Linked DNA regions of Caenorhabditis elegans. The protein of the gene in region 2 interacts with the protein of the main gene of each other region in a pairwise test. Each region holds a gene or a part of one and is shown on either strand. Other genes may lie near its edges.

What was found. Proteins that work in one complex are often made in the same cells at the same time.
Region 1: the proteins of ced-10 (region 2) and max-2 interact in a two-hybrid assay, tested with the Caenorhabditis elegans proteins (one study listed by BioGRID).

What each region holds. Positions count from the first base shown.
Region 1 is NC_003280.10:13,021,410-13,029,181, forward strand, and holds the start of max-2 (non-specific serine/threonine protein kinase), read right to left. Parts: upstream 4,430-7,772; 5' UTR 4,370-4,429; coding exon 4,346-4,369; intron 4,294-4,345; coding exon 4,169-4,293; intron 4,120-4,168; coding exon 4,042-4,119; intron 3,833-4,041; coding exon 3,630-3,832; intron 2,661-3,629; coding exon 2,499-2,660; intron 2,449-2,498; coding exon 2,243-2,448; intron 1-2,242. UniProt on the Caenorhabditis elegans protein: Serine/threonine-protein kinase, which phosphorylates mlk-1. Involved in the stress response to heavy metals by activating the mlk-1/mek-1/kgb-1 pathway.
Region 2 is NC_003282.8:3,502,690-3,511,367, reverse strand, and holds ced-10 (Ras-related protein ced-10), read left to right. Parts: upstream 1-1,840; 5' UTR 1,841-1,874; coding exon 1,875-1,979; intron 1,980-2,259; exon of another isoform or gene 2,260-2,409; intron 2,410-2,767; coding exon 2,768-2,859; intron 2,860-3,126; coding exon 3,127-3,312; intron 3,313-3,796; coding exon 3,797-3,989; 3' UTR 3,990-5,040; downstream 5,041-8,678. Other genes in the region: tsg-101 (Tumor susceptibility gene 101 protein), read left to right, coding at 1-176, 764-894; srz-83 (Serpentine Receptor, class Z), read right to left, coding at 5,253-5,486, 5,535-5,696, 6,159-6,438, 6,492-6,601, 6,766-6,924; ceh-53 (Homeobox domain-containing protein), read right to left, coding at 7,525-7,617, 8,067-8,209, 8,596-8,678. UniProt on the Caenorhabditis elegans protein: Required in engulfing to control the phagocytosis of apoptotic cell corpses. Required in embryonic development for the correct positioning and orientation of the mitotic spindles and division planes in blastomere cells.

The DNA.
Region 1 (7,772 bases), on a different chromosome or scaffold from region 2:
TATTTTACGACGGGTCTTCGCTTTTTTATGATCCAAGAAAACTGTGTGGTCTCGCATGTCTATTAGAACTGTGAATGGGAAAGAGAAAATTAAGAGGAAAACTCAGAAAAAAAGAAGCAAAAACAACTACCGTCATTTATTTATTCTTCGGCTTTTCGACATGCCAAAGGTATCGGAAGCCGCCGACAAAATACAGTTAAAGTCATGACGGCCTCTAAGACAACCAATTAGCCGATTACAAGTGCTTCTATAATTACACATAGTGAGAGACTGAGAGAGAAGGCCGGATATACATAGATATATCTGAGAATCGTAAGCATCATCCGTTTGGAACGAGGGAACGAATTTGAAGTTTGGGCAGGTAGAATAAGAAGCGTGTAAGGTAAATGGTAGGTCAAAAGTCTACACCAAATGAGGCGTCAAACTTATGCAAACCAAATACTTCTGGTCAGTCAACTGTAAGCATTGGAAGGTCGCCGTGTGTCGAAGAAAGCAGAAAATGAAGGTTATGAAAGTCAAAATTTCTATTAAAAAAGGTTGTTGCGGGTTGTAACGGGGTCCGGACTATTCCGTAAATGGGAAACGCCGGCGAAATGCAAAGAAGAAATCATGAGCCACTTTCAGGTTGGCTGCGGAGAGAACTAGATGGAACATGTGAAAGTGCGAACACAAATACAATGGGTGCAGCCTGGCAAGGCAAGTGTTCAAGAAACTCTCTGGATTAGGCTTCTCTTTTTGCTGCTTCCTCAGAGACCTCTGACCGGTATTGCAATGTTGCCTTGGCGCGCGCCCGCCAGGGGGTCGGCCGTCGAATGGCAATCATATCACTTAAAGGAGGAGGAAGGGGCAGGCCTCCCCGCTCAATATGCGGACGAAGAGGGAAAGCGATGGAATGTATTCACTTTTCAAACAAAACGAAGAAGACGCCGACTATGAAGCTTCTTCTCCTTTCTTCTGTGATGATGATGTGTCTTTTACTTCTGCATAAAACACTGCGCTATACACACACACACATACACATAGCACATGTAAATTGGAATAGACGTAGACATACGCTATCAATTGACTTGTTTCTTTTATTTGAGTGATGGCCAAAGCTTCTCTGATCTGACGTGCCCCATTCATCTAAATCGCACCATAATTCATCGCAGACTGACTGGTATTAGCAAACGACACCATTCGTCCGTTGCGCCAAACACTCTCTTTGAAGGTAAATGGCATCGGGATGGAAATGATGTGAGGGATCAGAATTAGAATTTTTAGGTGAAGCCGTCAATTCAAGATTGACATTGGGTAATGGAAATTGAGAGAACATGTGGAAGGTCAAATTTGAAATGATGGAGAAATCGGGTGAAGATATCTGGCGCTCCAGGTGACAGAAATCGACAGCAGGATGAGGAGATTGATATATTTCGAATTGGCCTTGAGATTTCGAAAACTTGCCCTACTAATTCACGACTAATTTCTCTATGAGAAAGCGGTAAATGACGGAATGAAAGTCAGTGATCGTGTGTTAACAGTGAAATAGATATTGACTTTGATCAGGTCTACCAGAATTGCAAAGAGTTTGAACAATGTGCACCGAGCTTGGAAGTGAGAAGATCAAATCTACAAATTTGACGAACAACATAAATCAAAACACAAATCAGTGAACACTCACGAAAAGAGATAACTGAAGTCTGCAAAAAAGAGAAAAAAGAAGAAGCTTATTTGCATCGCCTCCTGCTGCGCTGAAGGCATTTTTAAACCAGTCACTCTGCCTCGAAATCGTCTCGTCATCGTCGTCAACCTCATCAACCTCGAATACTCTTATATGACTGATAAAAAACAGAAAAATTACCGCCACTGATTAATTGGCTTGTCGTCGCTCTCTCACGCACCTTTCGCAAGTCGTCGCCGCTCTAAAAATCTCGTTTCGACTGTAAACCGATATCTTCGTCGTTTTTTCAATGACATGATTTCTTCTCAATTCGCGTACTATTAACTCGTTGAAAACGAAAACTATTTGGTGGATTTTGATGGTGTTACACACACACACACATAACAACACATAGTTGCAGCCTGAAAACGATACACAAAGAGGGAAGAAGATCCTCTTTGAATTGCCACTTCTGAGGACATATCACTATCACCTCATCAACAGTGAAAATGAACTGCTTTTGTGTTGTTTGTTTGGGCGCCGCCGCGAAGTTTAGAAGCAAGAAGACAAAACATGCAGCAAAGTTTGGAAATTAAATCATACCGATGGTTTCGGTGGCACCGGGGGTCCTTTCGATCCAGGAACTGGTGGTGGTGCTCCATTCGAAGTCGTCGGATTCGTCGTCGTCGTCGCCACTGCCGATGCGGTTTTGCTTCGTTGCGGAAGAACTGGCGGTTGAGGCGGGAACGGAGATCGTGGATGCAGTTTTGGAGTCTCTCCGGTGAATGTTTTCAGTTGTGGAGCACTTTCTGAAAAAAAAATCGAATTATTGCAAAGATTTATGTGTATGTTCACTTACCACTATATGGAACTGGAGCTGGAGACGGAACGTTATTCCTTTCCGATAATGAGAGAGATGTGTCGGTAGACGACGCCGTGGAAAGATGATTATTTCCATTTGTCAGTGGACGAGCAGAAGAAGATGAAGCTGACACTGATGTAGATGGGGAAGTTGCGGAACCTGCAAAGATACGCGGATTTTAGGGATGGAAAATGCAAAAGATTTCAAAAAAAAAAGAAGTTTCTTGCAGATTTACAAAATTTCCGGCAAATCGGTAAACCGTCAAATTGCCGGAATTGTAAATTTTCAATTCCGGCAATTTGACGTTTTACCGATTTGCCAGAAATTTTGAATTACTGCGCTTTGCCGGTTTGCCGGAAATTTACAATTCCGGCAATTTGACGGTTTACCAATTTGCCGGAAATTTTGTAAATCTGCAATAAAAATTTGTGCTCGGTCCTTAACATATAACTGATTTCGCATGGTGTCAGAGTGTCCCATGTCGGTTTGATCTACGTAGATCTACAAAAAATGCGGGAGTTGAGACGCAAAGTTCACAGGAACGTGCTGACGTCACATTTGTTGGGCGAGAAAATTCCCGCATTTATTGTAGATCAAACCGTAATGGGACAGCCTGACACCACGATCATTCTTGCCATATTTTAGGTGTTTTAACTATTGGTTTGAACCAAAATCAGAAAAAACAAGGGCCTTTAGCTGCCAAAATAGGAAAATAATCCTATTTTTACAGCTGCATCACAGAAAAGTTTGCAAAATTGTAGATTTGGGCAAAAATGAGATTTTCATGAGATAAAACAGAGATTTGATGGCAGTTTATAACAATTTCTTACAAAATTGGCTCATTATATTCAAAATGTTCAATTTTCACAACTATTCTATGTCTCAGTCGCCGGAAATTGACATTTATCTGATTTTTGTCATTTTTTTTTTTTTTTTTAATTTTTTAACGATTGGTTTGAACCAAAATCACCGAAAAAAAAGTGATTTAAGCTGCCAAAATTCGCAAAATAAGAAAAAAAAATACCGTTAATTTCGTGCAACTGCAATACAAAAAAAGTTTGCGAAATTGTTTTTGTCAATTTAGAAGTCACAATTTGAGAATTTTCTCTATTTTCCACTAAATCTCACCATTACTACACTGCAAATTCCTCAAATGTTCCGTGACTTGTCCGGTCAACTGAACGTCCACATCATCGTCATCGCTATTCGTGAAAACACTATTCGTCGTCATGAATTTCGTCTTCTCGTTCTCCTTCATTGATTGTGCGTAGAACTTCAACGCAGTCACCACCGCGTTCGGATCCTTCTTCTGATCGGCAAGACTGAAATAGCTTTGAGAATTTGTTAATGGGAACCGAGAACCGGGGGACACGGGGCGTCTTATTTCGGCTTGATCTACGTAGATCTACAAAAAATGCGGGAGAAGGGACGCAGAGTTCTCAACTGACGTCACATTTTCCAGGGCAAAAAATTCCCGCATTTTTTGTAGATCAAACCGTCATGGGACAGCCTGACGCCACGTGGGGATGGGATGCTTTACCTAATGTCTCGGAGAAGAATATCCATCCATGGTTGCGGCAGTCCGCTGAACTTCTGGCCGTCGTATCCAACGTGGACTCTGCAAATATTTGGGGTTTGTTGGAGAATATTAGAAAAAAAAACCGTACCGATGCACTGTGTTATATGGCTGACTAATATCCATTGCGGACGAGGATGGCTTCATCTCATCGTCTCGATCCTTGTCTTTATCGCTGGGAGAGAAGATTCGCCCGATGAAATTCCGTATTCGCACCTGCAAAATGAACACATATTCACAAAAATCGTTTTTTTTTCTAGAATCTCACCTTGGAACTTTTTGAAGTTGACATGGTTAATGATTAGAATGCGTCGTAAGCGACACGGTTGTCAGACCCGATGTTAAGGTAAATCTGAAATTTAATAAAAAAAGTTGAAATTATTATTAAGGATATGAGGTAATTATTTTCGGTAGTGCCAAAATATAGAAAAATAGAAAATACATTTAATTTCAATTCAAAAAATTTTTAAAAAATAAATAAAAGTAAGTTTTCAGCATTTTCGAACTAAAAGAAATGTTATTTTCAAATAAATCAATTAATTTAACACCAAATTTTAATGGAAAAAAATTGGGCCAACATTAAATTCCTGAGTGGAACTTAAAATTACTAATAGTTGAGGGTGGGCAAAGATTAAAAAAAAAGAGAAAAGAAAAAAATATGGACATAAAGATGACGGGTCATACGGGTAGAGCGGGAAAATGATAGCGAGGGATCACAAAGTGCGAAGACACACAGACACACAAAAGACGACGGTGAGTCATATAGTCTTCCTGCCGGGTTGAGAGAGAGCTCCCGCACAACACAAACATCTTGATTGAATCATAGTTATACAAGAATAAGTGACAGTGGGGAGTATATGGGGGTTCCCGTTAGAAACCTGCCCTTTTCTGGGAAGCAAGCGCGGTTTTTTTTTTGTTGGAAAAGGTGGGCAGTTCAACGGGGAAATAGATTTTTCTTTCAATTGTCAATAAAATCAAAACACTTGCAAAAAATCAGTGGGTGTATTTCCTTTGATGTCCGAAAATCGCAAAAAAATCGCGCCTGGCCTCGACACGAAAAGTGTTACGAAAAATGCAGAAAGGTGTGCGCCTTTAAAGAGTACTGTAGTTTCAAGTTTTTGTTGCTATGGGATTTAAATCGGTTTTTCATAGCTTTTTCGATGAAATTATATTTATTCTTTCAAAAAACTTGAATAAAACAATAAAAATACAGGTAGTTTAGTAAATCTTGAGAATAACTATTCAAATCCCGCTGTAACAAAAAAGATTTTGCTGAACAGTTCATTCCACTAGACAAAAAGCAGTAAATTTTGCAACTATATCATCTTTGATAACTTTTTCTCGCGGCGTGCCGGGCCGGCATGAACCCTATTTCAAACAAAGTAAATGCCAACTGATTGCCGACGATGAATCTCTCAAATATTTGCACTCGAGGCGACGATTTCTTTATTTCGCTACAGTTTTTTCATAATCATTCATCTTGAAGAGATTTTCTATCTCAAAATAATATCTGACCAAAACTCAAGAGTTTAGCGTTAGAAGTATATAAAAGTTATTATTAGAAAAACTGCGAGAAAAAAAGTTAAAACCTAACTTTTGCACACAAAGCCGGAAAAAAATGGAGCATGAGAGCAAATAAGGGAGCGCGAGTAGGTAAAAAGCACTGAATCTACCACGAAGTCCCAACTGACATTTAATATTGAGTGGTAGGCACGAAAGGCAAAATCTACTGCTTTGCATTTATTATGATTCGCCGTTTTGTGTGTGTCGCTTCTTTCATTCATTTTTGTTTCTGTTTTTTGTGCTATTCAACACAAAAAAGGAGAAATTGAGAAAGAGGAAGTTTTTTTTTCCGGTAGATAGGAAAATCGGCAAATTTCAGGATTTGAAATTTCCGGCAAACCGATAAATTGCCGGAATCGAAACTTCCGGCAAATAGGCAAATTTCCGGCGAATCGGTAATTGCTGGAATATAAATTTTGGGCAAATCTGCAAATTGCTGGAATTGAAATTTCCGGCACATCGGTAAATTTCAGGATTTGAAATTTCCAACAAATAGGCAAATAGTCGGAATTGAAACTTTCGACAAATAGGCAAATTTCAGGATTTGAAATTTCAGGCAAATCGGTAATTTGCCGGAATCGAAACATTCGACAAATAGGCAAGTTTCCGGCAAATCGGAAAATTTCAGGATTTGAAATTTCCGGCAAATCGGTAAATTTCCGACAAATCGGTAAATTGCTGGAATTGAAAATTTCCGGCAAATCGGTAAATTGCCGGATTTGAAGTTTCCGGCAAATGGATAAATTGCCGGAATTAAATTTTCGGAAAATCGAAATTGGAAATTTCCGGCAAATCGGCAAATTGCCGGAATTAAAAATTTCCGGCAAATCAGTAAACCGTCAAATTGTTGTAATTAAACATTTCCGGCAAATCGGTAAATTGCCGGAATTGAAAATTTCCGGCAAACTGGTAAATTGCCGGAGTTGAAAATTTCCGGCAAATTGGTAAATTGCTGGAATCGAACATTTCCGGCAAATCGGCAAATTGCCGGAATTAAAAATTTCCGGCAAATCGGTAAATTGCCGGATTTGAAATTTCCGGCAAATGGATAAATTGCCGGAATTAAATTTTCGGAAAATCGAAATTGAAAATTTCCGGCAAATCGGCAAATTGCCGGAATTAAAAATTTCCGGCAAATCAGTAAACCGTCAAATTGTTGTAATTAAACATTTCCGGCAAATCGGTAAATTGCCGGAATTGAAAATTTCCGGCAAACTGGTAAATTGCCGGAGTTGAAAATTTCCGGCAAATTGGTAAATTGCTGGAATCGAACATTTCCGGCAAATCGGCAAATTGCCGGAATTAAAAATTTCCGGCAAATCGGTAAAACGTCAAATTGCCAGAATTTTAGATTTTCGGCAAATCGGCAAATTGCCAGAATTGAAAATTTCCGAAAAATCGATCATGTGCCGGAATTGATAATTTCTGGCAAACCGGCAAATTTCCGGCAAATCGCCGCATTTGTCGGCAAAAAATTTGCCGAACGGCAATTGCCGCGCACCCCTTGGAATAAATGTAAAGTCGATGACTTTCTGAAGAAGGGGACTGCCGGACGGACCAAGGACAAAGACGAGAAGAGAGCGGAATGAGGCCATATTTCAAGAGGGTTAGTGGGGAGCCCATTGAGCAGTCAGCCTATGCCGTTCCAATTTTATACATTTATACGTATATCACTCATTCTGGGAATTGGAAAATCCTAGACAGACGAATTCTTGACATTAGATTCGAACAATGATAATGTAATATTGAATAGGAAGAAATTTTGAGGAAAATACTCTAGAAAAGAATGACTTCTTGGCGAGACAAAAACAAACGGAATAAAAACAACCTTTTTGACTGAAAAATTGTCGGGCTCACAGACGGAAATTCACTTCCGCCCCATTGAAATTCACTTCCGCCCCATCCTGAGCTTGAAAGGTGACGTTAGTTTTTACAAAAGAAAGAAGAAGAAAAAACAGAGGAAAACCTCCAAGCAAACGAAAATAAAAGAGAATAACTTTGTCTACTGCTAACCCTAACTTGATGAGAAGCACGCAAAAACTTGTTTGCGAGCCATCCTCGAGTAGCATTGGGCCTTCGTAAAAACCATAAAACCCCGTCGCCTAATTTCTCTTGCGGCGCCCCCAACGGAA
Region 2 (8,678 bases):
CGCCTGTGAAATCTATACGGCAAAGAAAGCAGAGCTCGCGAAAGCTCTTTCAGACGCTGGAGGCACTGATGCTCCACCAATTGATGAGGCAATTGATGCCGCTTTTCCGTTGCACCGACAAATTGTGCTCAATTATGCGAAAGATTTGACATGTGATGACGTCATTTATTCACTTGGTATGGAACGAAAAGTTGGGAAAAATTGGAAAAATCTAGCTGGAATTGCTCAATCCTGAGGAAAATGTGCAAAAATTGTTTTCAAAAAATGCAGAAGTTGAAAATTAAGAAAAACTAGTGAAAATGTTTCAAAAAAATTAAATTAAAGTTGAGATTTTTCGAAGTTTCTGAGAGATTTGAAGCCAAATTAAAAGCGTTTTTCTGAAATTTTTCAACGATTTCGTCTATTAGCACTACTACAAATCATTCAAAAACCCCCGAAAAAAAACAGAAATTAGTTAAAATTGACTTTAAATTCTAGAAAATTCACAAAAACTACAAAAAATTGGAAGTTTCTGAACAATTTTCAGCCATTTTTACTCCAAAATTTTGTTGAAATCGTTCAAAAATCAGTTTCGGTTTTATTTTAGCAAAAGTGTTTTTTTTTTGCGGAAATTTGATAGAAAAATTATTGAAAATGACTGAAAATTGGAATTTCAGCAAATTTTCGGTGTAAAAATTTTTCCGAAATCCAGCAAAAAAAAAAACGAAAAAAAATTATGGTATTTATGAGAAATTTTTTTTTTGCCTAATCTTCAAAATTTCAGGTCAATCACTGAAAAAACGCCAAATAACACTTGCCGAATACCTCCGCCATGTTCGTGACGTGTCCCGAGAGCAATTTATCTACCGAGCAACAATGCAGAAATGTCGACGAACTGCTGGTCTTCCTATTTAAAATTTAAATAAAATTTGGATTGAAAATCGTGGAAATTTTTGAGAAAAAATTGCTAATTTTTTGACCAAAACTGGAAAATCGTGAAAAATTGTCCATAAAAATGCTAAAAATTCGATAAAATTCTCGATTTTTGGATGAAAAATACTTTTTTCAATAAAAAGTGGGAATTTCAGCGATTTTCTGACGAAAAACTTAAAATTATTGCTGAGAAATCGAGAAAAATGCATTTTTTTAAAACGATTTTAGCTAAAAATTCCATATTTCATTTATTTTCCTGATGAAAAATTGTTTAACATCAAAATTTCGGTGCTTTTCCGTGATTTTTCAAGTTTTTTACATGTTTTTCCGTTAAAAATTCACTTAAATCTTCTAATTTCAGCCGAAAATTGTAAATTTCAATAATTCCCGTTAAAAATGATGGAGCTTCTATTGAAAATTACCTCGAAAAAAGCTTTCTTTTTTTGACGATTTTCCAGCCGAAACATGTAAATTACGACGAATTTCAGTGACTTTTTTGTCAAAAAAATTACGGTTTTCACTCATTTTTCCATCTTCTCATTTCAAAATTTCTCCCATTGCCGCCATTTTTCTCTAATACTCCCTTTCTCTCCGTCTTGATGCCCGTTGTGATTTGGTTTGTTCTCTCTCTCTCTCTCTTTTTTTCCGTTTTATAGACACAATTTTCTAGATTTTTCCCCATTTAAAATATCCAATTTTGCACCCATTTCCCCATTTTTCCCGGGGGAAAAGCTCGCTTTTCTCTCGAAATTCGATGACTTTTTCAGGTTTTTTGTTCATTTATTTTTTGTACAAAAATTTTAATTTAAATGTGATTTTTCCCCCCATTTTTTTCTGATTTTTTCGCTCAAAATACCGTGATTTTTGGCGGTTTTTCAATATTTTTGATAGATTTTTTTTGTTGCTATTTTTAAGCCAATTTTTCCAGCTTTTTGTGCTTGTGCTCGCGGAGCTCCCCACAAATGCAAGCGATCAAATGTGTCGTCGTTGGTGACGGAGCCGTCGGTAAAACGTGTCTCCTGATATCCTACACCACAAACGCATTTCCCGGAGAATATATTCCGACGGTGAGTCATTTTTAAAGCAAAAATTGAGATAAAATTACGTTTTTTGGCTCAGAAAATAGGACATTTTGACACAAAATCGAAAAAAAAAAACAAAGAAATTTAGGCAAAAAATATTCAAAATTGTTGTATTTTGATCCAAAAATCATTGAAATAAATATTTTTTTAGGCCAAAAACTGGGAAAAATAGTGAAATTATCAATACTGAAAATCGTGAACATTTTGATTTATAAAACATTTAAATAAAAAATAATTTAAATTAAATTTTTTTTGCTAAAAATCGTTTTAAAAAGTACATTTTTTTAATCAAAAAAATAAGTGAAATTTCACTGAAAAGTATGAAAATTAAAACTTCCGTTTTTTACGGAAAATCTAGACAAAAAACTTTTCAAAATGCGATAAAAAAGTTTTCTGCAAAAATCGTTTTAAGAAACACATTTTTAGCGAAATTTTGCTGAAAAATATGAAAATTGTCAACTTGTTCCCATAAAAATCAATAAATTAATATTTTTTATACCAAAAGCTGGGAAAATGGTGAAATTTCATATAAAAATTGGTATTTTTATTTGAAAAAAAAATGTCGAAAATTTCAAAAAACTTCAGTTTTTTTAAACGGAAAATCTAGAAAATTTTGATTCAAAAAACTTTTAAAAATGCAATAAAATTGTAGGCTTTTTGCAACAAAAAAATTGAAAATTTTGAAAAGCGCACAATTTCCCGCAAAAAATATGAAAGGTGTCTTCTTTTTCCCAAAAAAATGCTTTTTTCCCATAAATTCAAATTTTTTCCAGGTATTCGACAACTACTCAGCAAATGTGATGGTCGACGGTCGGCCGATAAATCTCGGGCTCTGGGATACAGCTGGACAGGAAGATTACGATCGGTACGGGCAGCGGGAAAACTGAAAATGCTCGAAAAAACTCAGGATTATGGGTTTTTTCAATAAAAAATTGCTCAGGATTATGTGATATTTTCCTCAATCAAAATGTGGAAAATATCACATTTTAGAAAATTTCATCCAATTTTTCATAAAATGACAGTGATTTTGAAGCTATTTTGTGGTGAAAAACTCGAAAAACATGGAATTTTTCGCACTTTGCACTAAAAATTACCCCAATTATCAATTTTTCAACACCAAAAAAATTTGCAGACTCCGACCACTGTCATATCCACAAACAGACGTGTTTCTCGTATGCTTTGCCCTGAACAATCCGGCGAGTTTTGAGAATGTTCGTGCGAAATGGTATCCAGAAGTGTCACATCATTGCCCGAATACGCCGATTATTTTGGTTGGAACGAAAGCTGATCTGCGTGAGGATCGAGATACTGTTGAACGGTAGATTTTTGGAGAATTTGAGAGAAAAATTGAGGAATAAAGTGAAAAATTTGTAGAAAATGATGAAAAATTGCCAAAAAATTCGAAAAAGCGCATAAAAATTCAGAAAATCACTTAAAAATTGAAGGAATACCGCCAAAACATTAGAAAAATCATTAGAAACGGCAAAAAAATGAGAAATAAGGAAAAAACGCATCAATTTCAGGAAAAAAAATTGCAAAAATTGTATGAAAAGTTGCGTAAAATAGCACAACATTCACATAAAATTTTGGAAAAAAATTTGCAAGATTTTGAGAAATTTGCTCAAAATGTTGAAAAAAAAATTAAAATTAAGATAAATCGCTAAAGAAATGTAAAAAGTTGCACTAAATTCGCATAAATTGTGGACAAAAGTTTGAAATTTTGAAAAAAAGCACATTAAACAAAATTGGCTTAAAATCGAGAAAACTTGCAAAAATTCCGAAAAAAAAAATTTTTTTTGCAGGCTCCGCGAACGCCGGCTCCAACCAGTGAGCCAAACCCAGGGCTACGTGATGGCAAAGGAAATCAAGGCTGTCAAGTATCTGGAGTGCTCGGCGCTCACGCAACGTGGTCTGAAACAAGTTTTCGATGAGGCGATCCGAGCCGTGCTCACGCCGCCACAAAGAGCCAAAAAGAGCAAGTGTACGGTGCTCTAAGATGGGGAAATTGGAGCAAACAATCGCAGAAACTACAACAATTTTAACTATATATATACATATATCATCTGGATTTTTTTTGTTTTATCGATGAATTTTGCTGTGAAATTACCGGTTTTTAGGGAGTAAAAATTGGCAAAAACTGAGCATTTTTAGGCAAAAAACTCGCCGATTTCCGTTCAAAGAAATGCTCCAAATCGGCTGAAAATTACTATTTTTTTTAACCGAAAATCGGCCAAATTTCCACTGAAAAAGCTCAATTTCAGCCGAAAATTTCTCGATTTTTTTCCAGAAAATTGTCCAAAATCTGGGCGTTTCCACTCTCTAAATCTGAATTTCCAGCACACTTTTTCTCATTTTCCCCCTCTATTTTTATCTCTAAAAATTTGTTTTGTATCAACGATTTTTCATCTTAAACTCGCTGTGATACTTTTCTTACTTATCCACCCCAATTTTCAGCATATTTTGTGCTCATTTTTGAGCCGAAAAATGCTCAATTTGTCCATTCATAATTTTGTGCTTTTCCCCTTTTCCCACCTGAAATAGGTCTTTTTTCATCTGAAAAATTGAATAACTTTTCCCCAAAAACCACAAGTGCTTTTTCCTCTCTAATTTTTATCGGTTTATTTTTTTTATTTGAAATTTCTTCGAAATTTTTGTGAAATTTCTTCGAAAAATCTGAAAATGTTTGGAAATCTCTACGATTTTTTCTAAAAAATGTTCAAACTTTTTGGAATTTGTTTGAAAAATTATTTGGAATTTTTCTGAAACTTTTTTTCAAAAACTTTCGATTTTTTTTTGTAATTTTTAGGACACAACGAACCCTCTCTCCACAACCAAAAATCCTCTTTTTTCTATTGTGAATTTGAACAACAAACTCGGCTCTTTTTCCCTTTTTTCTTACTTTAATTGTTAATTTCTCTTCTTTTTGTCCAACTTTTATTATGCTATTTTAATATGATGATATGATATTTTACCACACTTTTTTTCTATGATGGAATTTTAAATTTGAACATTTTTTGATGGAAAAATTGGAAAAAAAAACAATTCGAAAAGTTGCAGAGATTACAGATTTTTCTGAAACTTTCGATCAAAAATTTCAGATTCTGAGTTTTTTTACATTTGTTAATCGGACACAGAAATGAATGAAAAAAATCCTAAAAAATTTCCGAACTTTTGTTTTCTCGGTGGCCTAGAAAACCTAGATTTCTAGGAGTTTTCTAGTCCCCGGGCATTGGCCACCCAGCAAGCACGTGTGTGTGTTCATTGATCGTTAATGTGTGGGTTGACGCTGAAACTCTTGATCCCCAAAATCACTTTGATAAATCTTTTCAAACTGATTTTTTCCGATGAATCTCCAATCCATTTTCTGCTTCCCAAATACGGAACTTGAATAGTCAACGGAGTTATAAGAGTACTCACTAAGGTAGCGATTACCACAAAAGAGCACCCACAAGAACCATGTAACAACTGGATAGTGCTAAATATGATTGGGAACTGAAAACTGGTTCAAAAAATAAAATTGAATTACATCGAACTAAATACCGATTCAAATATTAGCGCAGTGACTGCCTGCCAGAAAATGTACTTTTGCAGAATATAATAATGACCAGAGGTTACGTAAGCATTTTTTCTAACGCTTCTCATGATCGGAATATAAAATAGTGTTGAAAACAGTTGTAAGACATACGGAATAATGATGGTTGCCTAAAATAGTCAATTATGTAATATCGGATTGACGGGACAGTCAGAATTTTCAAAGAAAAGTTTATGCGGAAATTCAAATTTTCAGATATAAATTTTTTGTGGAAGATACCAATTTCTTGTGATACTATTTTTGTTGGAAATGCAACTTTTCTGATAGAAAGCTTGACAAGAAATTTAAAAAATTTTACTGAAAAATCTTTGGCGCGAAATTTAAATTTTCTACAAAAAATTTTACTCTGAATGAAAATATAACAATTTTTGGCGGGAAATCCAAATATTCTGAATTAATCTACAGCGGGAAATTCAAAAGTTCTAATCAAATTTGGCGGAAAAGGTAAAAAAAGGTTTTGAAAGTTTTTTTCTTGGAAATTTTAGATTTTATGAGAAAATAATTTGGCGGGAAATTAAATTTATCTGATGATTCTGAATAGTTTTCAGGTGTCAAAGTTCCATTAAACGTACACTGGAAAATGTGTCAAACTTTGCCTCAGCCGCTGTGCTTCCATTTGATAGAACCCATAGTATCGCTTCTGTTATTAAAAATATGATATATAAATACCAAACGTCCTTGAAAAAGTGTTTCTGGATAATTGAAACTTGCTTCTCCAGTTTTGGGAAATAGAAAACCAGAAATTGTTGGAATGCCAGGAAAAACGTGGTAAGATAAAATGCCTTTGTAAGATGATACATGGTAAAACACAATGCATAAAAGATCACAACGATTAGAAAGCGAATTATTACACTGGAAATCAGAAAATTCTTTAAAAAATGGTTTTTTTAAAACTGAAACAGTACATTTCGTGAATTACATGTAGCAACGTATGGAGAATAATCGAGAAAACAAACAGGAAATACGCTAGCTGCACCATTTCGTAAAAATGTTGAACTGTTGGGAAGAGCAGCATCTACCAAAAAATTTTCCACTAATTTTCAGAAAATCACTTATGGGGTTATTCAAGTAATGTAGCAAAATGTATTTAGATACATGTTTTTATATACTTGAATACAGTTGTGACGTAATTTTTCTACACTTTTTAATTTTCCGACATTACTTGAATAACCCCATTACCTTCTTGTCCCGGTCTCTATTGATTTCATAGAGATACTTGTAGAATGGAAATATAATTAAGTTAATTAATAAAAAAGCATATGATATAAGGTCAAATTCAGCTCCTATGCTTTCGAAATATATGTTATCGGAGTTATTTGAAATTTTGGTGTCGTTCATTGATTTCTACTCGGGTTTTGAAAAAAAAAGTGAGTAGAAATGGGGTGCGATAATTCACCTGCACTTGAGAAACTATGAGAAAATAATAATAATAAAATTGGCAGCTGTTTAAAGGTGGAGTACCGAAATTTGGAAAATATTTTCAAACAAGTACAAACCCCTGATTTCGAAAAAAAATTCTCTGATTTTATATTTGAGCTTGAAATCACTTTGCGTCCCCATGAGTTTTTTCAAATGCGCGCCAAAAAATTATCATTGGAGTGCGCTTGCTTAGCTCCCGGAAATCGAGATGAAGCAAGCGTGCTCCAATGTGAATTTCTTTGAGCACACATTTGAAAAGGTCATGGGTGCACAAATGAAACTCGATCTTTAGCTGAAATTTAAAATCAGGGAAATTTTTTTGAATTTTTTCACATAAATATTCGAAATCAGGGGCAAACTTGGAGGCCAATTAACAATTTAGAAAAAAAAGTTTCAAAAAACTCAGAAATTTAAATTTTCGAAAATTATTCTCAGAAAAAAGTTTTTTTTAAAAAATTAAAATTCATTATTCCAATTCAATTTCTAATTAATAATATACTTACAAAAACAAAACACAACTCAAGAAATAATATTACTTCCAACATTTGCCACCAATTTGGCACTGCCTATCGATGCCGCCGTCGTCGTGGCCGCCAGCAAATGTGTAGGAATCTGCAAAAACTCTAAAAAATATTTGTTTTACTCCCCACTTACTTGGGCGGCTTAATCTTGTACTCCGAGCCACCTAATACAAGTACCTAATCTGAATATCAGGTTACCCCCCCCCCCCCCCCCCCCAGGTACTGTAACTATTTTGGGTGATGGGAAGAGAGATTAGGCTAATCTTGTTGTAAGTAGGTAAGCAAATATTCGAAAACTTAAAAAAAAAAGTTTGTTCCCCTGCCTACATGCCTGCCTATGCCTATTGTTATGAGTTTATGCGTTTTGGAGTGAAGCGATAACTAAGAAGTGATAACTAATTGACAAGGTTTCAAAATTGTTGAAATTTTGGATTTTCCGAGTAGCTGAAATTTTGAAAAAAAAAAAAGAAATTTTTGAGTATTGATAAAATTTTAATTACATACTGCAAACTACAGAAGCTACAAACTACAAAATCTTACGGTATTTAAATTCCTATACGGGTTGTATGCATAAAACGGATTCTGATGACAGATAAAGTTCAGTGGCGGAGCCGGAGTTGTCGGAATCGATGTGGTGGTGGGGCTCAGCGACGAGTTGAATAGAGCTGCTCCGGGTGTCCAGGCTGGAAAAAATTGCTTAACACTGGTTCACTAGGACCCCAGTTGTCGAAAATTGCCGAAAATTCCGGCAACTCGGTAACTTGAAAACAGTGACGTCAGAGTTATGGGCTAGTCGCCTAAAATTGTATAAAATTGCCGGAAATTGCCGAATATTGTTGAGGGGTTTTGAAAATTTGCAAAATTTGTCGAAAAATCCCAGAAACTGGGTACTTTGACAACAGTGACGTAAGAGCAAATCGCCGAAATGTGTCGAAAGTTGCCGAAAATTACAGAAAACTGCCAAACAGTGGCACAAGAATTCGTTTTCGGCAATTCGGCATTTTTAGACCAATTCTGTGATAAGTAGAAGGCCAGAAGCAGAAATTTGCCGATTTTTTCGGCAACTTACTAATAATTGTCGTTTCATTCTTTGCTTTTTTCTTCAAACACCCATCTGCATCGCCTTCCTCATTGGATTCTTCAGTAGTACTG